3 linked regions of the Notamacropus eugenii genome follow. Each later gene encodes a partner of the first gene's protein in a complex. Links are inferred from orthologs where the notes say so. Each region holds a gene or a part of one and is shown in the gene's direction. Other genes may lie near its edges.

Region 1 (7,316 bases):
TTTTCTCTTAACACTTCGTAATTGATATCAAATACTGACTTTGCATAAGCTTTAAGGTTTAATAATAACTGAGATAAATAGAACCCTTTATGAGTTAAGAGTTTCCCACAAGGTTATAAAAAAAAAACATTCTTAACTGCACTTTAGGAAAAAGGAAACCAAGGTTGACTGCAGTGAGGTGACTTAGCCAAGGTTACACAGTCACATCTTTGGAATTTTTATCGAGGTCTTCTGACTGCAAGTGCACTTGTAACTTAAAGAAAGAAGATAGTAAGCAGAACCCAAGGGCAGTGAATTATTTGATGTGATTAGTCCAACTGTGCAGATTTGGTGAGACATGTAAGGAGTATAGTCATCCCTTCCACATCACATAATCTGGAAAATTCTAATAAAATTTTTTGGCTCTCCATACCAGAGAAGAAGTATGAATTTTTTCTTTTATGGGGTGTTTATAGTACCTTATTATAAAATTTGGGTTGATATTATATAATACTATACATGTATTTTATGCATTTTGAGTTTCTAAACTTTTTCTGTGTCATTCTGCCGGCCTTGTGTCATCTGCAGCTTCAGCAAAACTCCCCCCAAATTCCCATTTAATTTCTTATGTTGACTTATATCAAAACCTCGATGGGGAAAGTCGTGATGTAGAAGGGATAACAATACCTGGGAAAAAACATGAGTGCTTTTCAATTGCATTCTATGTCATCCCAGAATATATTCTGAACTAAAAGTCTGTCTTTTTGTTTCATAGTCACTGACCATCCTTAATCTACATGTTATGCTTTTCTTAAAAATTAAGATGCCCCTTGACGTTCTTAAAGATTTTGGACTAAACCTGCTGAACAAGCAAAACTAGAAACCCAATTAATTACCCTAGATATTTTGCAGATTAACTTGTAAAATGGAATTTGAAGGGAAGTTAAGTAGTGTAGTAGATTTGAAGTCAGAAGATGTGACTCCAAAGCCCAGATTTCCTTTTTTATTATCTGTGTGACCTTGAGCAAGTCTAACTTCAGGCCTCAGTTTTCTCCTCTACATGAAGGTGGTGAATGAGATAACGAAGTGCCTTTCCAGCTTTCAATCCTGTGATGTGTCCATGGTTAGTTAGAGTTGAAGGTTCTTCTGCTCCTTCCCCATGCCCCATGTAAACCTGAGAAACATCAGAATTTTACAACTGGAAGGAGCTTTTCAATATGGAAGAGAGCTCAGGAGATCATTTAGAGCAGCCCAGTCATTTTACAAATGGGGAAACAGGCGAGTGAAAGAAATGACATTAAATAACCATTTATCAAGTGCCTGCTGTGTGCCAAGCATTTGCATCCTACTAATGGGAAGCAGTTTTTACATAGATACGTATTACATCTATACAAAACAATTACAAAGTTGGTGGGGGTTGTTGTTTTGTTTTGGATAGGAGAGTAAGAACTGGGGAGGTCAGGAAGAGCCCTGTAGGAAGTAGCCCTTGAGCTCTGCCCTTCTGAAGGAGCCTGGTAGGAATGCCACGAGGTGAAGGAGGAAGGAGAGAGCGTACTGGACACCGGGTACATCTTGGGCAAAGCCCCGGACTGACCATCCCTCCTGTGGACGTTTCAAAGGGCTCTAGGTGGCGGAGATGGGGCCAGGAAAGGATGACCCCCCTCCCCCATCTTGAATTGCCTCCCACCTCTTCGACCCTTTCGACCTGCACAAGGTCATAAAGCAGTTAGGTGACTTTGTCCTCAGGTGTGATCTCTCACCTGCGTGCTCTAATATTTGTCGTATAAACCACCTAACATCTGTAAATAAGGAAAAAAACTCCAGTACGAGCCTGTGTGTTTCTTATTGGGTCAACAAACATATCATAGTTTTCCTTCCACAGCCCCAGTGCTTCAGTTCTTGAATAGGAAGCCACAAAGGCTGGAAAGGAACAGACGTAGCTACATGGCTAGTGGCAGACGCGTGGCGTACAGGTGGATCCCCTAGGTATCTCAGGGAAGAAACCCTACTCCAGCCCTGAGAAAATCCCGTCCGTAGTTTGTGTTTCGCTCTACATCCGCCTGCTAGGGCACTCTCGCTGGGAGGACTCGTGCCTGCTCTCCAAGGGGCCTGGGATCCCGCAGAATCCCTAGAGGGAGGGACTGAAGAACCGGTTGGAAGAAGAGTGCACAAGTCTCAGATGGCCTAGCGGACGGGAGGGAGTCACGGAAAAACTACAGCTCCCGGCGGCCTTCAGGACGGTACCCAAGGCGATTGGCTAACAACTTCAGCACTAACAGGTTCACCAGCCAATGGAGAAGGAAGCTTTGTCCCGACCTGATTTGTCCGAGACCAATAAAAACAGGCGGGCGTTTCCTTCTTGCTTGGAAGAAAAAAAACGACCAAAAAACGGTGCGGTTTTAATTGTTCCTGTCTAAACTCGTCGAGACACCAGGATTGGGACTCGAAAATGTGGCTTACTCATATAAAGGAGAACGTCCATTAAAAGAACTAACACTCCTCCCCAGCTCCCCAGCCCCCGCGCTCAAAACGACTCCCCTGGGGCGTGCGCCCCGCCCCACTCTTCTCTCCTCCTACTGCTTCCGCTACGTCCCGTACGTGCCTGCGGCGGGCGGGGCCAAGAGGGGCGGGGCGCGGGGAGCCCGGGGCGGGGCTCAGCCTCGTTGTGGAGCGGGTTGTAATCCATCATGGCGGCCGAGGGGGTTGGTGTCTTTCCCTGAGCAGCAGCGCCGGAGCCGGTGGCCGTGTACCCGCAGCTAAGGCGCCCCCTGCCCGGCCCCCGGCCTCCGCCCCCGCCGCTGCAGCCCCGCGCCCCAGCTGGGAGGGGGAGAGACAGAGAGAGAGAGGCAGAGTGAGGCAGGCAGAAGGGGAGGCAGGTTGGCAGGGAGGGAGCGGGCGGACGCTCGGGAGCTCCGGGATATGATTGACTGACCATTGGCTGGGGTGGGGGACCCGAGGGAGGAAGGACCGTCGGGCCGGGGGCGGCGGGTGTCTCCGGGCCGAGTTTCTTACTTCTCCACCTCGAGGACTGGGCAGCTCCTCCCCTCCCCCCTCCCCGCCTGCCCCACGGGCATCTCGGTGACTCCTTCCGGACCCTGGCTTTTGGGGTGTCGGGGGAGGCAGGACTCTCCAGCAGGGTCGTACCCTCTGCCCGGAGCTCCTCCGCCGATTGCTCCCCTGCGGGAGACGGTTGTGAGCGAGAGAACCAGCCTTCTTCCTTCCCCCGCCGACCCCTCTGCTCCCCCATACTCTCTCCTGTTCCACTCCTTTTTTTCAAAGGTTCCCCAACTCTGCCACTCATCTCTCTCCCCTTCCCCCCTTCTGTCCCTTCCCCAATAGGCTGCCAAGTTTTCCTTTCTGTCCCAGGTTCAGCTTCTCTCCCGTGCCACCCATTCAAACACTCTTCCTCATCCCTTTGCTTTCCTTTCCTCCCTCTCTCCCTTCCCCCTCCAGTCTTGCCAACCTCCAATGCCCTTAGTCTTTTTCTATGTCACCAAAGGCCTTAGTAGGCTCTGGACTGCCCCAGACTTTAATGCAAAGGAAAAGCCTGGGTTGGTTCCACAGGCCCTTTAAAAAAGCTGACTTAAAATTGCTGGCAATGCATTCCTGGAGTGACTGACTGCTCGTGTAAATCTACTTGTGAAGTCTGGGTGACCCAGCTCAGTTTTCCGGAGAGAAGTAGCAGCCAGATTGGCAGGAAATCGGTCAAAGATGAAGAAACCGAGATAGGGTTTGGGCGACTTCCACAGGAAAAGTTTCAGAGCCGGTATCCAGATCCTTCTGTCAAAGACCATTCCTGATTTTTTTCTGAGAAGTAGAGACCCAGAAACAGCTACACTTTTGTCTTTGTTTTGAAATCTAAAATGACATTGGCATACCTGACCCTTTTAGACTTAAGTAATAGTCCATGCAAATACTTTATTCTCAAGAGGAATGCAAAAATTGCAGTGGGAAAAGTACATTCCTTGTGAATATATTTTTAAATGGCTTCACTTTTGGAAAGAAACTAATTCCTGTTCAAGTAAAAGACGTCCAAATCAATTGACACTGATAACATTATAGTTGTATCGTTCAAACTGATAAAAAACTGTAAAATTGGAGCTCCTCTTTGCCTGAGCGGACTAAGAAGCATTTTTTACACTTGGTTTTGGGAGAATTCTCTTGTGATTGACTTCAGTAAGTGATCTCTCTGGAATGTGAATGTGAAACCCAAATTATACTATTGTCATTCTAAGCTATTGGACCAGTCTGGAAGATCTGAAACCCTCTTTTTCTGGGAAAGGTTGTCTATAGTTCCTTTATGGGGCAGCAGCCTGGAAAAGTCCTTGGGGACCAGAGAAGGCCAAGTTTGCCTGCCCTGCACTTTATCAAAGGAGCAGGGAAGAAGGAATCATCAAGGCATGGGGGTCCACACTGCAATGTTTTTGTGGAACATGGTAAGTGCTTATTAGTATTGCTTAAATTAATGTTTATCATATAGACTTCGCTAGGATGCTAGAATTAGAGCACAACAGATTTTTCTGATTCAGACATCCCATTTGAAAATTTAGAAAGCTAGCATATATTTTCCTTTTAGGTGGCTCTTAGACTCCCTTTGTATGAGAAAAAATTTCTTTATGATTTAATGTTATGCAAAATCTCATGGTTTTATTTATTTTCTACCCTTGCTCTTCAGATAGCTTGCTGTGTCACATTGGGCAAATAATTTCTCCCAAATATGGGCCGCAATTTCTTTTTGTAAAATGAGAGGATTGTACTAAATGATTGCTAAGGTCTAGTTCATTTTTTATGAATCTATGATTCATTGATAATTGAATACCAATAAATTGGTAATTGATAATTGCACATGTTACTTACAGGTGCTTATTAAATGCTGGTTGAATGAACAGACAAATATAAATTCTTTTATCTAACATGAGTGCCAATCGTTTTCCCTTAATAATATTTTTCTGATTTTTCAGTGTGTTTGAAATGACATTTATGAAAAGTTGTCATTGGAATTTTTAATGTATTGTAATTTTGTTGTCCTACTGTCTGTGTGGACTTACAGTTTGCTTCTAGTAAGCCTTTTTGGTTAAGTCAAGGCAAACAATCAACTTAGACTGATACTTCTCAGCAGGGAACAGTTATTTAACTTATGAACTCAGGGTTCTGTTCATAATTCTGTTATGAGGAATAGTATTTGTGAGGTCTTGTGACGATGTAGGCTATCATTATTAAAATATTTAGTGATGCTGGGCCCTAGTCATCAAATTCTTAAAGTGTTTTAAGTAATATGTTTGTAAAGTTCAAGTAAGGATCCAAGTTACCAAGTGGGAATAATAACTTCAGTGTATTGAACTTTTTAAACTGGTAACTGCCCGTGACTATTGAAATGTAAACATGACCCAGATTAATGAAGTTGTTAGTATTTCCCTGGGGGCCATTTAGTCCAAGGACCTTTTTAGCCAAGATGTATTCAAGGTGAAGAAAAAGAGATGAAAATAAGCTAATCTTGTGAGTACTGAAAATTTTTTAGCTGCATGGTATGATTCAGTGAGTGGTGAATTTGGAGTCTAAGGACCTTGGTTCAAATCCCAATGTTATCTTGTTAGTCATTTAAACTCTCTGGGTCTCAGATTTCTCATTGTAATGTTAAGGATATTAATATGACTTCAAATCTTCAATCTGTAACCTAATTAGAAACTTGAATTTTAATTCTTCTTAAGATTCTTGAAAAAGCCCTGAAATCAAATTAAATTTTAGTTCAGTTGACAGACAAATTTGATGATGTTTAAAATAATTGCTCATTATGATTTCTCTCTCATCCTCTGTACCATCTCCCTCCCTTTAAAAGTTCATTTTAAAATACATTGGTAACAAGTGATAACAAAGTGAATCACTTTGTTAGATCACCTATTTTTTAAAATATGTACTTTTTTCAATTGACAAAAATCCTCCTCTCCCTCTCCCCTCCTCTCCCCAGGTTGAGAAAGAAAGAAGAGTAACTAAGGAAAACAACTTGACTATACATGTTATAAACATCTGTAGTCAAGCAAAACAAATTTCCACATTGGCCATGTCTCTCTCTCTCTCTCTCTCTCTCTCTCTCTCTCTCTCTCTCTCTCTCTCTCTCTCTCTATCTCTCTCTATCTCTCTCTCTCTCTCTCTCTATCTCTCTCTCTGTCATTCTGCACTCTGAATCCATCACCTCTTTGTTAAGGAGGTGGAGAGCATGTTTCATCATGAGTCCTCTGGAAGTCATAGTTGGTCATTCTGTTGGTTAGAGTTCCTAGTCTTTCAAAGTTCTTTGTCTTTACAGTATTGTCTTCACTGTTAAACTGTTGTCTTAGTTCTGCCTATTCCTTCTGCTTCAGTTCTTGCAAGTTTTCCCAGGTTTCTATGAAACTATCTCTTTTATTATTTCTTAGAACACACTGGTAACCCATTTTGATTACGGACTCAATACAGTTTCTAAGGCTGAGTTGAAACAGAGTATGGATTGATTCTCTGCTGTTTGTGCTAATTTTGGCCTAACAATTTACACCAAGAAAACAGGCTCTCCACCAGCCAGCATCACACCATCCATCCATGGAACAATTGAATATAGCAGATGGAGAAATTTTGAATGCTGTGGATAAGTTCACTTTACCTTGGCACTATACTTTCCAGGGATGTACACATAGATGATGAGGTTGACACACCCATTGCCAGAGCTAGCTGTGTACTTGGAAGGTTCTGAAGGAAAGTGTTGGGGAGAAGAGGTATTAGACTGCCTGTCAGACTGAAGGTCTGCTGAACCGTTGTGCTGACCTCATTGTTGTATGCCTGTGAAACTGGGATGGCCTGTTGACACCATGCCAGGAAACTGAATTGCTTCTGTTTGAATTGTCTTAGGAAGATTCTGAAGATCACCTGACAAGATAAGGTACCAGACACTGAGGTCCTTTCTTAAGCTGAGCTTCTAAGCATTCAAACTCTACTGCAGAGTTGGCTGGTCATATTGTTTGAATGCCAAACCCATGTTTGCCTAAAAGACTGTTTTATGGAGAACTCACACGAGTCAAGTGCTCATATGAAGGTGAGAAGTGATGCAAGGACACTTTCAAGGTCTCTCTGAAGAACTTTGGAATCCATTGTGAGATGGAGATGCTGTCACAGAACTGCCCAACGTAGTGTGCTCACATCAAAGAATGTGCTGGGCACTTTGAAGCAAAATTGCAGTAGTTCAAAAGAAATGTGAGATGTTCATGTGGACTATTTGTGCCCGTCCTGTGGTGGAGCCTTCCAAGCTCATATTGGTCTGATCAGCCACAGTTGGGCACACTGTATCTTGACTCCAACATAGTGATGTCATT
Region 2 (7,582 bases), on another chromosome or scaffold:
TCCAGTCATCCTGATGAATATCTGGTCACTGGATTCAGATGACTCTGGAGGAGAAGTGAGGCTGGTGATCTGCACAGCCCTCACTCAAAACAAAGTCAAGTGCAAGTCATGGTATTATTTCTCTGGTGGCATGGTCTTCTTCAGCAACAAAGGTCAAACACACAGACCTCCCAAATGTGAAAGCTCATTCTTCCAGTGCAGATTGGCATCTTCTTATAGTTTACATTCTTACCATTTACAGTCCTGAGAGGTTAAGTGATTTGGAGTTCCATAGCTAGTGAATGGCAGAAGTCTTCCTGATTCCAAGGCCTACTTACTATCCACCTTTGTTAGAGGTATGGGAGATTGGGAGTGGCAGCTACTACCATATAATGAATGCAATGATTCTCCTCCTATCCATGGACATAAGAAAGGCAGAACTTGAGTTAGAAGACTCAGGGGGGACCAGATTGGGGGGGAGGCAGTGTCCCAGGTGTGCCCTTACAATATGAGAGTGAGTGCTAACCTCTAATCTAGCTCAGTCCTCACATTTTACTGAGGTGGAAACAGATGCCTGGAGAGGTGATTCCCAAGATCACACACCCAGTGAGTAGCAATTCTGGCATTCAAGCCCAGATCCTTTGGCTTTGTCTCATGTTCTTTCCAGGAAACTGGTAGGGGAGAGCCAGCGTCTGTCCACACGTCCATTGGTAAATGTCAAATTGTGTTGGGAAGGACACTAGGAGGAAATACAACAATGGGTGAAAGAGGAGGCTGGTGCAGGTGTGTGCGCTGGTGGGGGAGGGGGTGAGTCAGGAAACTGTGGCTATAGCCAGCTTTCTAGAAGGCCAGAGTGGAAAGGGAGTGGCCAGCAGGAAGCTGGAGAGTATGGAAATTTGGAGAAGCTTGAAGCAGGGGCTGGCGACCCCGGATTTACAGCCTTTCTATTGGTCCTGTGAGAGGTGATTGAAATACCAGAATTGGAGGAAAGCTCCCTCCTTCCTTAGTGACTGCAGAATCACAGATTCTCAGTTAGAATAATACTAATTAAAGCTAGCTTTTATACTTTACAAATATTATCTCATTCGAACCTCACTACAACCTTGGGAGGTAGGGCCTATTGTGACTGCCTTTTTACAGTTGAGGAGATTGAGGTAAACAGAAATGAAGTGACTACCCAGGATCACATCACTAGGGGTCTGAGGCTGGATTTGAACTCAGATCTGATGCCATCCAGTCTAGGGATGTCCAAGGTCATCTATTCCATTGTTCAAAAAAGTTGAGCCTGACATATCTCATTTTACAGAAGAGGAAACTGAGGCCTGAATAGGTTAAATTACTTGGGTAGGGTCACACCTGTAGTAACTCTCAGTGAGTGCCGTTGGGATTACCTCAACACTGGATGGGCACCTAGGAGGAGGTATGGGAGATTGGGGGAGGCAACCTCTATCATATAATGAATGCAGTGATTCTCAAGTTACCATGGACTTGAGAAAGGTAGCACTTGAGTTAGAAGACTGGGAGGGAGAACCAGATTTGGGAGGGGGGGCAGTGTCACAAGCATTCCCTTATAATAAAAAAGTATCAAAATTATAGGAACATAACTTAGTTAAGCCAAGCTAAGGAAATATAGAACATCCTTTCTTTAAGGGCAGGAGAGGGGAGGGGAGGACTGTGTTTCTGGAGGGAGGTCAGTGGCTGTGACTGGAGATGGCCTGGCAGTGATCTGGTGGGCCTGGGACCTGTAACTAGGAGCAGACCATCTACGATCCTATCAGCTACCTACTCTCCCTTTCTCCAACTCCAGGGCTATTATTTAGGGTTTGTGTATTAATAACAATAACTACCATTGATATAGCACTTAAAAGTCTGTGAAGGCCATCACACATTATTTCATTTGATCCTTCAAACCACCCTGATAGTGCTATTCCACTTTACAGATGAGGAAACTGGGGCTAAGAGAATGAAATGATTTGCCCAGAGTCTGACAGCTAGTATCTGAGGCCGGATTGGAAGTCAAGTCCTTTTAATTCCAAGTCCAGAACTTTAGCCACTTACACAGAGCCAAACACACTGTGTTTCTGGCTCATATCGGGTCACAGGGAAAAGAAAAGGAAGATACAAAAATAGTAGCTATAACCCCAGGAGAGTTTGAAGGGGGTGGGGCAGTCCCGTCCAGTTTGGTGGGAGAGTGTGTGGAGTAAGTGTATACATAGGATCCTGGAGTTTCTTCCAGCAATAACTCCTCTTCCCCATCCCCACCCTAGCACTGCCCTCTGAGTCATGGCTCAGAACAGTCCCACCCATTTCTACAAAGGAGTTAGGTTCGTGTCTTAGTACGGGTACTGTACAATCACTGAATTCCGTCTCTAAAAAACTTTAAAGGCATGAGAGGAATGAATGGAAGGGGGGTAGAGGTAGAGGAGGACCACTAACTGTGTGAGGTGAGGCAAGTGGCTTACCAGCAGTGCTGAGTTCTAGTTAGAAACAAGTTCCTAAGTGCTTTCAACACTGAGCTAGAATTTGCTGAGAAGACAGAGCTCAAACTTTGTTCTCAAGAAGCTCACAATTTCTTGGTAGTGGAGGTGAGGATGGGGGATGAGGGGAGGGGAAGGAAATACACAAATAGTTCTCCAATCCAGAGTGAAATTTGTGTATGGGAGATAACAGCAGATCTAATAGATTGCAATCTGTTTTTACCCCTTTGTATCTTGAGGTGCCTTCTACAGAGAAGGGACTTATTCAATATTTGTTGAATTTAATTTATTGAATGAAAATTTGAGGTGACACTCACCTGGAATAATCACTTGGAGATGGGAAGAGGAAGGAAGGTTAGGGTTAGGGGGTGCCTGAAGGAGGTAGCTTTCTAGTTGGTGATTGAGTCCTTGAAGGCAAGGCGGAGACCACAGCAGAGACAAGAGGGAGACAGGAGAGACAGGAGTTCATCTCTGGCTTGTGAGCTAAGTCACACCACTGGGAGAGACTAGGTTGGGTGTGTTGGGGAATGGGACTGGACTCCAAATTATCTTGTATTTATTTAAAATATATTTTGTTGTCAGCATGTCATATATGTGCGGTATGTGTTATTATGTGTGCTGTATGGACATCCATGTATACACATATTTTAAAAATTGTGCGGCACATATGTAGCTCCTGTGTATAGGTACATATACATGCACATATATAGATAGGTACATATACATACACATATATAGATAGGTACATATACATGTGCGGTTTTATGGTTATGTGCACGTGTGAACATACATACACATGGTTTTCCAAAAGTATTAGTGCAGTATATACGTGTGTGTACGTGTGGATAGATAGATAGATTTGTGTGGATGTGTCTCTTTCATAGAGCATAAGCTCCTGGAGGACAGGTACTGCTTCCCTTTTGCGTGGGTATCCTGGGTGCCTGGTGCGGTGGTGACAGGTGGTAAGCACTACTGGAGCCTGGCTGGGGCAGCGGGCTGGGCTCGGACTGTGGAGGACCTGGAACCTGGGCTATGAAGCGTGGGGAGCCGCTGAAGGTTACTAAGTAACAACTTGGTCTGAAGGGTGTACAGATCTTCTGCGAAACAAGCCAGACCGAGGGTGACGGGGAGAGATGGACTAGAGAAGTGAGTTTAACATGAATGAATGAAAAGACATTTATTAAGCACAATGGTGCTAAGTACTGGCGAGATAGATTTTTTTTAGCTTTATTAGGATTTATTTTTAACATCTATTTTTAAAACATCCCCTCCCCCCACGGCAAGCCCAAGACTGGGACATGAATTCCAAAGGAGAGGCCGTGCTGCCCTCAGGGAGCTTCCACTCTTCTAATACACAAGACTGAGGTGTCTCGGGCGGATGGATCGTGCGTGGGGAGGGGAGGGGGCAGGGGCGGGGCGCCACGGGGACCCCACTCCTGACGGCCGGCTGCCTGGACTTCTCCGGACCCGCGGCTCTAAATGCACGATCCCTGACGGCCAAAGGCGGGGGAGGCCGGGGGGGCGGTGGGGGGACCCGGGAGGGCCGGGTCGGGGGGCTCCCGAGAGGAAGCGTCCGGGGCGCCCAAGCTTCCTTCCAGGCACCAACATTCCATTCTGTGGTTCAAGGATTCCGAGACTCGAAGGCGGAAATGGGTGACGAGTGACAGGGACACCCCCAGGCAAGCCCCGCCCCCTGCTCGGCCGCCTCGGCCCCGCCCTGGAATCAGCTGCAGTGCCGGCCCTGGCCGGAGAGTGACACCCGAGAGCCCGGGGTGGGGACCGGGGAAGACGGCGTTAGGGGCAGCGCGCATGCTCGCGCTTGCCCTTCTCCCAATGGCGGCCGCCTGTCTCCTTTCCCGGCAGGCCACCCGCCCGCTCCTCTCCCCCCGCCCCTGGCGGGGCGCGTCACTTCCGGTGGGGAAGGCCCGCCGCCGCCGCCGCCATTTCGGGCGCTGCTGAGGAGCGGAGGCCGGAGCCGGTCCGCGGGGCGGCGGGCGGGCGGGCGGTCGTCGGTCGGGGCGGGCAGGCCGGCCGGCCGGCGCGCGGGCGTGGAGGGGCGCGCGCGCGGGCGGAGGGGCGGCGGCGGCATCGTCCTCGGTGGGCCAGGCCCGGGCCCGGGCCCAGGCCCAGCGTGTCGGGGCGGAGGCGGCCATGGCGGGCAACTTCGACTCGGAGGAGCGGAGCAGCTGGTACTGGGGGCGGCTGAGCCGGCAGGAGGCGGTGGCGCTGCTGCAGGGCCAGCGGCACGGGGTCTTCCTGGTGCGGGACTCGAGCACCAGCCCCGGGGACTATGTGCTCAGCGTCTCGGAGAACTCGCGCGTCTCCCACTACATCATCAACAGCAGCGGCCCGCGCCCGGCCGCCGCCGCCGCCCCGCCGCTGCCCCTGCCGCCGGCTGCCGCGCAGCCTGGGCCCGGTGAGGGAGCGGCGCGGGGCCCGGGACCGGGGCCGGGGCGGGGGGCGGGCGCGCGGAGCCCGGGAGTGCCGGGGTGGGGGGCTGGGCGCGGGCCTCGGGAGGCCAGCCCCGTCCTTTGACCGGTGGGGAAACTGAGACCCCCGTGACCCGCCCCAATGTCGTTGCAGCCCCTTGGGCCACTTGCTGGCCTGGGGCTGCCGGGAACGTCCACTCCCTGAAGGGGCGGCGGGTTTGTTTTTGCCACCCGAGACCTCCGATCACCGATTTAGGGCCAGGAGGGCATATTGCAAATGAGGAAACTGAGGCCTTAAGTGCCATGACTAGGGGCTTCATTGGATTCAAAATTTTATGAGAATTTTACTTTGAAATGAAAATTTTCATCCTGTCTATTCTCAATGCACTGTATCAGTGCTTTTTGCTTTTTTTTTTTTAAATCAGCATTTCTTTTCAAATCTGCATTCTCTCCCCCTCCCACTCTGCTCCCCCAGATTATTTCTCAAATACTTGTAAAGCTTTTTTTCCTTCATAGAGGGGAAGGATGAATACCACCTTAGGAAGGCTTAGATGGTGTCCTAGTGACTTGGTCTTTTTCTGGTTGGGCCATATTGGTGACCTGAGGAGTGTTTCAGCAGCAAAGGTCATGGTTTTTAATTTGTTTTGTGGAGGTGGAGCTGAGGATTTCAGGAACAAACTTTAGTGCTGGATACTTTATCAGGAAAAAAAAGGTTGAATGTGTACTTCAGAGACAACTGTCTTAGTGAATGTGAGTGGACTTGAATTTCTCTACGTGGATTTAAGGTCTGGAAGGGATCTTGGAGGTCATCCTTTCCAAGTCCCTCACTTAGCAAATGAGGAAAACTGAGGCCTGAAGTGGTTAAGTGACTTTTCCCACATCATACAGGTATGATCGTACTAAGATTTGAACTCATTTCTTCTGATTTTCCAAAGACTGTACCTTTCCTACTATACCAACACTGCTTCTCTAACTTAAAATCTAGCTGGCTACCTCTTACTGGGGTTTATAGGCTATGGACACAGCTGGATTTTTCTGGGTATTCACTGCTCAACACTTCTTTTGTTGTCATAGTTGACATAGTTTCTGTATACAGTAGCAATATTTTCATTTGATGTTGCTGTTAGTATAATAAGACAAAGATGACCTCTCTGTTCTATTAACTGTTATGTGTCTTGAGACTGGATCCAAGCCAATCTCTGATTTGGAAGGCATCCTTTACATCAGCCTTTTAAAGTTTTAGATGTTCCTAATATAGACCATCTAAGGCCAGAAGTCAGGAGAACTGATGAATGCTGTCATATTAACGCTGGTATTGGTATGGTATTGGTATTGGAATGAATCAGTGACTCAAATGAGGAAGCAATTTTTGAGTTTTAGAATTTCTCACTTTAAAATTTGCTTTTGAGGTTTTTTCTGATTATATCTGTTGGTAAAAGATCTTACCTTTTCCAGACTAATTAGTGTCTTAGTAATTCAGTATTGGGACAGTATTATACTACATAGCCAATGTTTTTCTCCCTAGCCTTGGGCCAGATTGTAAGTGTGTCTTGGGCTGCCCCTGAGTCAAATGGGCAGAACTTCAGTGTTTCTGTGTTCTTTGACTTGGTGGCCAGATGTAAAGATGAAGGTTAGGTGCATATCTGTAGTCGTCTTCATGTTAGAGTTTCAGATATCAGTATCAGTATGTGCTCCTCCTTTTCAAAACATAAAATGCAAGTCAGACACTTCCCTGGCCTTGCCAGGGATGTTAAGATTGTCACGGTTGTGTGATTAGGGAGGCACAGTTCGTAGAGTGAAAAGCAGCTGCCTTGTTTTCTACCACATTTTCTTATTTTCCACTTAGTACAATTTGATTTGGCTACTGTGTGTTTGAAGGTTATTTTTTTGAAGTCTTATAGGAACTTGGTTTGAATGATGCTGGGGAATCTAGAAATTCTCTTGCCCATTTCAGGATCCCAGTAGTGCTCAAAAGAGCATTGCAGGGGAGGAAAGAACACCTGGGAGTGTGAATGGTTTAGTGCCTTTGCTCCCAGCGTGCTTTGGTTTTGTTCATTACCCAAGTGGAGTCGAGGACAGTGAAGAAAAACTGTCCCCAGCCCCCTGCCATCCTTTGTTTAGGGCAGGAAGGTGGGGTGGGGAAGGAAATTGAGAGCTTCTAAAAATCTTTGGCAGATTGGATAAGAATTCAGTTAGAAAGATTTATGCAAATGATTGCTTTGCCCTTCTGTAAATAGAAGTGGAGGCAGCAGCATTTTAGGTTAACTTAAGTAAGTATAGTTAGGCTCCACACTTTTCTAGTTAGAAAACTATTTTTAGGGTGGTATTAAGGGGTGAAGTTAGGGTTAGCAATACAAATCTTCTGGCTCCACTCCTTGAGGCTGGGGTTTCCAGTTCAGCAACCCTGATAGAGAATGAATTACAGGATTTTAAAGCTGAAAGGTCCGTTCGAGATGATTTAGGTCAACAGTTCTCATTCCCAGGCAATTTCCAGCCTCTGGGTATTGAGTTTGACGTTCTGTCCATGTGCACCTAACCTTTACTTCTTCAGCTTAACATGAATGTAAATATTGAGCACCTATTACATTGCCAAATTCTAGGGTGGGAAATGAAGGATACTGTCTCCATCCTTGAGAAGATTGTGGTTTAATTGGGTAGACTGAATGTACATTTACAGAGTAACAAAGACAAATTGTG
Region 3 (7,557 bases), on another chromosome or scaffold:
ATGGCCTTGGGTGTCTTATAATCTCTCTGAGTTTCTGTTTTTTCATCTGTGAAATGGGGGCAGTAATCCTCCTGAGTAAAGGACTTGGTAAATCTTTAAAAGGTGTAGAAACACAAGTTTTTATTCTTTTGCCCAACATTATATCCAGATCATAAGCAGCAGGACTGGGAGCCCAGATAGTCTAATTTCAAGTCCAGCAGGTTTGATTTTCTAAATCATACTTTGTTGACTCTTTATACAAGCATGAGCCAGGCACAGAAGATATGAAAAGGAATGCTATCCCACAGTCTATGTTCTGCTTGAGTATGCTGCTTCCCTTGGGTCATATGATATGATCTGGGGGTGAAAAAGCAGGGCCAGAACCCAGGAATTCTGAACTCCCTTCTCCAGTCTAAACAGTCTATACTAGACCAGGATTTCACTGTCTGAAGTCACTCTTGGGTCCTGGTACTGTGGGATTTCTTCCAGGAAGCCACATCATGATGTGGAGATGACCCTGGGTTCATAGATGATATTACATGTACTGAAGTACCTACTATGTGCTGGGGAATACAAGGACTGCTCAAAGACCTTCCATTTGCTTGGAAAGGCTACCAGCCACCAGTAGATGATGGACCATGTCTGTCAGCCAAGGATTGACTGAGTCATCTGTTTCACCTTCATCTTCCCCCATCTCGGATTCCCCATCTGCCTCCTAGTTCTAAATCCTATGGTCCTAAACCCATGGTCACGGAGTGAGGAATATTGTACCCACAGAAGCTCTCGGAAGCCAGTTGCCAAATCACCAAGGCCTCTGTTAAAACCACCCCCACCCCCACAAAATCAGAGGTGCTTGAAGTAAACCATGAGGCTTAGAGCTAAAAGGGACCAAAGAGCTTATCTAGTCCAGAGCTCTTAACCCAGGGCCAGTGAACTTAAAAACATGACAACTCTCTCAATATAGTTGCTTTCCTTTGTAATCTGGTGTATCTTATTGTGTATTTAAAAACAAGATTTTAGGATGGGCTCCACAGGCTGACTGCCGAAGGGGTCCAGACTACCAGATAGACATGAAGAACTCCTTCATTCATTCAGTCCCTGCATTTTACTGAAGACAAAACAGCAGCCCAGAGAGGAGAAAAGGCCCTCTTGTCCAAGATCCCACAGCCAGGGAAGGAACACTCAGAATTCAAACCCAGATCCTTGACTCGAAATCCCAGACTCTCACCCCAAGCAAGTGCCCGGAAGCACGAGTTTCTAACTGTTAGAACTAAAGCAGCAGTGAGGTGATTTCAGCCTCCTGGGGAAGTTAGCTGGGACCCGCCCTTTCTTCCTTTCAGAAAGGCTTCCACTCTCCACTTTTCAGTGGGGGAGGGGAAACCTCGCAGCCCGTAGGCTTCTTGCCTGTCCCCCCGCCTGAGCTTTTGATCCTCCAGCAGGAGCTCCCTTGGCCTCTGGCTCTGTTTTCATACCCCTTGGAGATCTTTGGGGCTGGCAGGAAGTAGTTAGTCTGTGACAGTCTTCTAATCAGCATCTGAGGCCTCCCCACTGGGGATCCTGCATTTCCACTGGGGAAAGACCTGGGGTTGGAGGGACCACAGTTCAATACTCTGTTATTATTTGCGGGGTGATTTGGGGCAGCTGTCTTACTCTGGGTTTCACTTGCTTCATTTAACATAAAGGGGTTGAACTAAATGTTTATAATTCATGGAAGGGATCTCCAAGGTCAAATACTCCATCCCTTTCATTTTACAAATGGAGAAACTGAGCCCCATAGAGGCAAAGGTGACTTATCCACTGTCAAAGAATCATAAAATGAGAAGTTAGAAGGGACCTCAGAAGGCATCTGGTACAACCTCTTCATTTTACAGAAAAAGAAACTGAGGCCTAGGGAAGTTGGACGTTTTGAGCAGGGTCCCACAGTAGTAAGAACAGGGGATTGAAGCCAGGCTTTCTGAGCGTGGGCCCAGGACACCCTTTCCCCTGCGATATCTCTCTCCCTAAGGCCTCCACCCCTTCCAGTTCTAAATATAAGACCCCATGATCCTTCCTCTGATCTGGGAAGTAAGGAGAAAAGGAAAAGAGAGAAGAACCAGAGAAGGAAGAATCAGGATTCTGTGATCAAATAGATGAATATCAGGCTCTCTGGCCACACTGAGCAGCTCGACTAGTGGGGGGTGGAGACTCAGGCTTGTTCCCCACTAATTCGCTGTGTGCCTTTGAGAAAGGTGCTAAGTGCCCCTCACCAAATTTTTCTAGAGTCTAGACCTTTGTTTTCCCATCTAGAAAATTAAGGATTGCATTGTGGTATTGTTAACCAGATCTGGATTGGCGGTGGTTGGGTCGGATCCTGGGCAAGTCTCTGCTCATCTTTGGGCCTCAGTTTCCTCATCAGCAGAATGAGGGAATTGGGCCACATGACCAGTGAGGTGCCCTGCAGCTGTGACATGTTACCTATCTCCTGGAAAGTTAATGAGGTATTAAGGGGAAGGAGCACTGGCCAGAGCTCCATGAGCTAAAGGAATGGTAGAGTCTAGATGAGGTTTGGGGGTAGGGTGAGAGGAATCTATAGCTCCCACTTCCCTCCCCAAGGGGCCCTGGTGGGAAGTCCCCTGGGGTCAGTAGCATATTACATTGAGGCCCACTTCCTCTTCCTGGTGCTTGGTGCACACCCCATGCTGCCGGTGCACACCCCGTGCTGCCGTTACTCTCCCTTCGAGGTCCCAGCAGTCCCAGCAGAAGATGGGAAGAGGGGGGCACTGTGGCTGTGTGAGACATGAAACATCTTTAGGAAGGAAAGCCCAGCTCTTCAAAAAACTCAGTATCCCTGAACTTCTGTGAGGTCCAGGATATGCCCATTTGACAGATGAGACTGAGGCTCAGAGGAGGGAAAAGACTTGATAAGAATCTGGCAGTCAGGTGTAGAACCTGGTCTCCTGGTCCCATCCTCTTTCTTTCTTTTTCTCCTTTTTAAGGTAATCTTAGTTTTAGATGCCTTACAAATTTCTTGAGTAGCCACTTAAGGTTTTATATTTGCAAATCTTCTGAGATATATATGTAATTCTCCCTATTTTATAAATGAAGAAACTGAAGTGCAGTCATAGGAGTTCAGATCTAGAGTTGGAAGGAATCTTAGAGGTCATTAAATCTTATCCCCTTATTTTACAGATAAGGAAACTGAGGTCACAAAAGCAATAAGTGGCAGAAGTAGGATTGTGAAACCCATGACCTTTGACTCCAACAAAGCTCCCTCTGTCCAGGGTCACAGGTGCACTGTATGTATGTAGCCCATCTAGTCAGGGCCAGAGTAGAGTCTACTCTGAAGATTGTGACAGAGAAGCTGTGAATTTCAGCTCTGATATCTGTTTGTCCTTCACTGCCATCAGAGAAATGATGACATGACTTGCATTTGACTTTTGTTTTGAGTGAGGGAGGGCTGCGCAGGTCACCAGCCTCACTTCTCCTCCAGAGCCATCTGAATCCAGTGACCAGATATTCATCAGGATGACTGGGGATGACTCAGGATGAGAAAATTGGGTTTAAGTGACTTGCTCAAGGTCACACAGCTAGTGAGTGTCAAGTGACTGTGGTGAGATCTGAACTCTGATACTATCAGTGAGACTGAAGCCTGGGTCCCTCCTGTTCCGATTTCTCCTTTTATCACAGTTAATAACATGTAGTCAATGCATGTTGAATCTAATGGGATCAGGCCAAAGAAAGCAGATGGGACTCACCCTGATCCTCTGGTTCCAAGTCAAATTGTCCCCTCATAATTTTTATCTGTCCCCCAGAGTTGCTTCCAGTGTAAGTGGGGATGGAGATAAGGAATAGGAAATGCTGAAAACACAAACTGGGAAAAATAGAAGGTGGAGGTTAGCCCACCGATTAGAATGTGTGTTGGGGAAGGGACAGCATCGTCCAGACAAGATCCCATGAATGGAGGGATTCTGGTCATTGAATTTGAACTGGAGAGGGCTTAGACATTATTTAGATTGAAGCCCCTTCATTTTTGCAGATGAGGAAACTGAGGCTCAGAGAGGGGCAAAGACTTGCCCAAGGTCACACAGCAAGTCTGCCTCGGTAGAGCTGGATTTAAACCTACGGACTCCATCTGTAAATCCAGCGCGCTCTCTGTCACCCAAGAGAGTTCCAGGTCCCAGGAGCCGCCCGAACAGGCCCTAAGCCGAGGGAGTGAATGGGGGTGGGGGGAGCACCGTGCCCGGGTCAGAAGCAGGCCCGGGCCCCGTGCGGGCTTGCCCCCTCGTTTCCCCCTTTCAGGTGCGGCCCAGGAGTTCTTTCTGTCCGCCGCAGGTGGGGACAGGCACAACTAGGGGGCACTCGAAGGCGGGACGGGGGAAGTCAGCCAGACTGGAGTACAGGCAGACGGACAGACTGACAGAGCGAAAGACGGAGGAGTGGGGGTGGAGGCACAGTTAGCGGAGGAGGGTGGTGACCTGGGTTGGGGGAGGAGAGAGGGAGAGGAGAGGCCGGACCAGGGGGAGGGGGAAGAGGAGGAGGAGGAGGAGGAGGAGGAGGAGAGAGAGACAGAGGCTCCGCCAGGAAGAGAAAAATTGCCTCCCTCCCTGCCTTGGACCGGCCGTCAGTCCCTCCGTCCGCCCGTCCGTCTGCCGGGGCACAGCTTAGCGTGCGGCTCGAAGACTCCTATGAGCAGCTCGGGGGGCACCCCGGTCTCTCCAGCCCTCCCGCCAGCTGGCCACCCCAGCCCTCGAAGATGATGAAGAGGCAGCTTAATCGGATGCGGCTGCAGCTGTCCCAGACTGGGGGCTCGGGACGGTGAGCGTGGCTCTGAGCTGGCAGCGGTGGTGGGAGACGCGCGATGTGTGTGTGTGTGTGTGTGTGTGTGTGTGTGTGTGTGTGTGTGTGTGTGTGTGTGTGTGTGTTGGGGGGGGCAGAATTAGGGTTGAGACCACCAGTTGCCTCAGTGGCAGCCAACACCACCCCAAACCCCAACCCTGGGTTACAACCTGTTCCCTTTGCTTTCTCTTTCAACACCTCTTCCCCCCCCCCCCCCCCCCCCAAAAGAGGGCCTCTGGGAAGGGAAGTCTCGTGAGGTAAGGCCCCGACTCGGTGTAACCCAGAGCCGCCCCTCTCCCCGCCTCCCCACTCCTTCCCAACCGAACGAGAGGTTTGGAGTCCTCAGCCCATCCCCCCCAAGATGTTACAGAAGGGGGTCCGGCTTGGTTAGGAACAGGAGTAATCTCCACCCATGGAGGAGGGGACTAGGAGGGACTTTAGAATTTAGGAGTCAGAGTTAGGAGGGGCCTTAGAACAGAGAATGTCCCAGCAGCATGGGGCCTCCCAACTCACATTGTAAGAGCTGGGAGGGCTCTTAGAAAAAGGAACTTCAGAGCTGGGAGCCTTAGAACCTGGAAAGGCAGAGTTGGGAGAATCCTTAAAAAAGAGATGTCAGAACTGAGAGGTCCCTTAGAATCTGGAATGTCAGAACTGGGAGGAATCTTAGAACGGTTCACTTCAGAGCTTGCAGAGTTCTTAGAACAGAGGAAGTTAGTGTTTAGAGCTGAGTTTAGATCTAGTTTAATCCCTTCATTTACAGCTGAGGAAATTAGAAACTGTTCCCTAACCTCCCCTTGCCCGCCTCCTTTCAGGTTTCTGTAGTTCAGAGTTTTAGAGGTGGGGGTGGGGCTAGCCCTGAGCTGATGGAGGGGAGGGTCAGGGACAGGATAGCTAGCTTCTCACTCTGCCTGGGACTCTGGGCTAGTTTCTCCCATCCACCTCCCCCAACCCCAGTTTGGACCACTTAAAGAACTGAAGGTTTTAGGACTCTCCCTGGAAAGGAGCAAGCAGATAATGGGACTCTGAGACCCCAGGAGACAGGGGGGAAGAGGAGAGTCTGGCCGGACCCTGGCTCCTTGGAGACAATGACCCCTGGGGGACTTCTTAGAGGGGAAGAAAGCCTTCCAAGAGCTTTTATTCCCATATGCCTTTGTTTTTCCTGTCTCCAACCCCCTTCTCCCCCCCAGGATGTCAGTCCTCTGAATTCTGCTTTGCTTTTCCCAGGGTCAGGTAAAAATCCAGTCCCATTCTCAGGGCTAAGTTTCTAAACATCTGCTTTACAAAAACCAAAACCAGATGGCCTTGCCCTGACTCCCTCCCCATCCCCTCATGGGACCTAGAGTTCTCTTATGTTGTGTGTGGTGGTGGTGGTGCTGGAATAACTCACTGGGAGCCAGGATACCTGAGTTGTAATCCTGTCTTTGCTACTTACTGCTTATGATACCTTGGATAAGTCATTTCTCTGGACCTGTTTCCTCATCCTTCAGATAAGGGGGTTGGGCTCAGTGGACTCTGCAGTTCTGTGACTTCAGTGTGCGTTATGGGCTGTGCTGGAGAAGCTGGGGGTGAGGGAGAAGTGAGGAGAAAAGAATCTGCATTTCAATCTGAGACGGAGTTTAGAGGCCATCTAAGCTAAGCCCCATATTTTTGTTTTTGTTTTTTTTTTACAAAGAAGGAAACTGAGACTTAGAGGGGAAGTGATTTCAGATCGTAGCTTTAGTACTGTAAGAGATTCCAGAGACCATTTAACCCAATCCATGAATTTTACAGAGGGGGACACTGAGGTGCTTTAAGATTATAGGAGCATAGAAGTGGAGTTGCAGGGGACCTCAGAGGCCATTTTATCGATGAGGCAATTGAGGGCAGATTGGCCCAGAGCACTGAGACAACATTCAAACTCAACTTCTTTTTAGTGTTTTCTTCTATCCCCGAAGCGAAGCTATCCTCCCTCCCCCCACTTCCTTCCAGACTTTACTCCAGCTGTTCCCTATCATGGCAGCCCTTACAGGTTTGCTCTGGGGGCCCCTGAGAAGCCCTTCCTGCTGCCCTGCCCTGAGTTCCCAGGTGCAGCTCTGGGTGGAGAAGGAAGCAGCCCGACTTTGGATTCCCCACTGCTTTGGAATGTGCTCTGGCTGGAGGGGTGTGGGGAAGAATGAGTGAGAGACAGCGATCGGGAGGGACTGGCAGAATCCTTTCTGAATGGACAGATCAGCTAGGGTTCCTGTCCTCTCCACTCTCTTCTCAATCCCCTTTCAGCTCTTAGTTGGTCACCCTGAAGTGCCCCCCCACCCCAGTCCAGACTTGGCAACGGGATCATAGATTTGGAATTCCCAGGGGTCTCAGAGGACAACTACTTTGACTGCTCATTTACAGACAACAGGTACAGAGAGATGGCCAGTGACTTGTCCCGAGTCACACAGCTTTCAAGGCTACATCTTCCTTATTCCAAGTCCCCTACATCATGATATCTGTCAGGGAGTTCTGGGGAAGCAGGAAAGCAGGTGGAGTAGAGGTCTCCAAATTCTCCCCTCACCCAGTCTCTCTGTCCCCACAGTGTCCAAGAGACTGCTGAATTTCTGAGCGAGGACTTGCTTCAGGTATGGATATGGGCTCAAATGAAGTGAGGAGAGGCAGGCCTGTACAGGAGAGCAGAGAGGCAGAGGGAGGTAGCCAAATGGGTGGGATGAGTCACCAGAACCTCCTGGACTGGATTTCTTTTCGAAGGAAGATGTCACCCTGGGGAAAATAGGGTGCCTGGGGTAG

What was found.
Region 2: the proteins of ABL1 (region 1) and CRK are in contact, whole or in part, in an NMR structure (PDB 1JU5), measured with the Homo sapiens proteins. The link is inferred for Notamacropus eugenii from reciprocal best matches to the Homo sapiens genes ABL1 and CRK. Residues at the interface, in NP_005148.2 of Homo sapiens: Tyr70, Phe72, Asp77, Asn78, Thr79, Asn94, His95, Asn96, Gly97, Glu98, Trp99, Trp110, Pro112, Ser113, Asn114, Tyr115; in NP_058431.2 of Homo sapiens: Pro44, Asp46, Asn63, Gly66, Pro67, Arg68, Pro69, Pro70, Val71, Pro72, Pro73, Ser74, Pro75, Pro80, Gly81, Ser83, Pro84, Ser85.
Region 3: the proteins of ABL1 (region 1) and SH3BP1 are in contact, whole or in part, in a crystal structure (PDB 1ABO), measured with the Mus musculus proteins. The link is inferred for Notamacropus eugenii from reciprocal best matches to the Homo sapiens genes ABL1 and SH3BP1. Residues at the interface, in NP_033724.2 of Mus musculus: Tyr70, Phe72, Ser75, Gly76, Asp77, Thr79, Asn94, Glu98, Trp99, Trp110, Pro112, Asn114, Tyr115; in NP_001303613.1 of Mus musculus: Ala607, Pro608, Thr609, Met610, Pro611, Pro612, Pro613, Leu614, Pro615, Pro616.

Annotation. Positions count from the first base shown.
Region 1 is NC_092872.1:482,395,272-482,402,587, forward strand, and holds the start of ABL1 (tyrosine-protein kinase ABL1), read left to right. Parts: upstream 1-4,279; coding exon 4,280-4,415; intron 4,416-7,316. Other genes in the region: uncharacterized protein, read left to right, coding at 3,467-3,598. UniProt on the Homo sapiens protein: Non-receptor tyrosine-protein kinase that plays a role in many key processes linked to cell growth and survival such as cytoskeleton remodeling in response to extracellular stimuli, cell motility and adhesion, receptor endocytosis, autophagy, DNA damage response and apoptosis.
Region 2 is NC_092873.1:39,471,937-39,479,518, reverse strand, and holds the start of CRK (adapter molecule crk), read left to right. Parts: upstream 1-4,507; 5' UTR 4,508-4,607; coding exon 4,608-4,872; intron 4,873-7,582. UniProt on the Homo sapiens protein: Involved in cell branching and adhesion mediated by BCAR1-CRK-RAPGEF1 signaling and activation of RAP1.
Region 3 is NC_092874.1:294,919,428-294,926,984, forward strand, and holds the start of SH3BP1 (SH3 domain-binding protein 1), read left to right. Parts: upstream 1-4,510; 5' UTR 4,511-4,711; coding exon 4,712-4,773; intron 4,774-5,683; exon of another isoform or gene 5,684-7,174; intron 7,175-7,348; coding exon 7,349-7,391; intron 7,392-7,557. UniProt on the Homo sapiens protein: GTPase activating protein (GAP) which specifically converts GTP-bound Rho-type GTPases including RAC1 and CDC42 in their inactive GDP-bound form.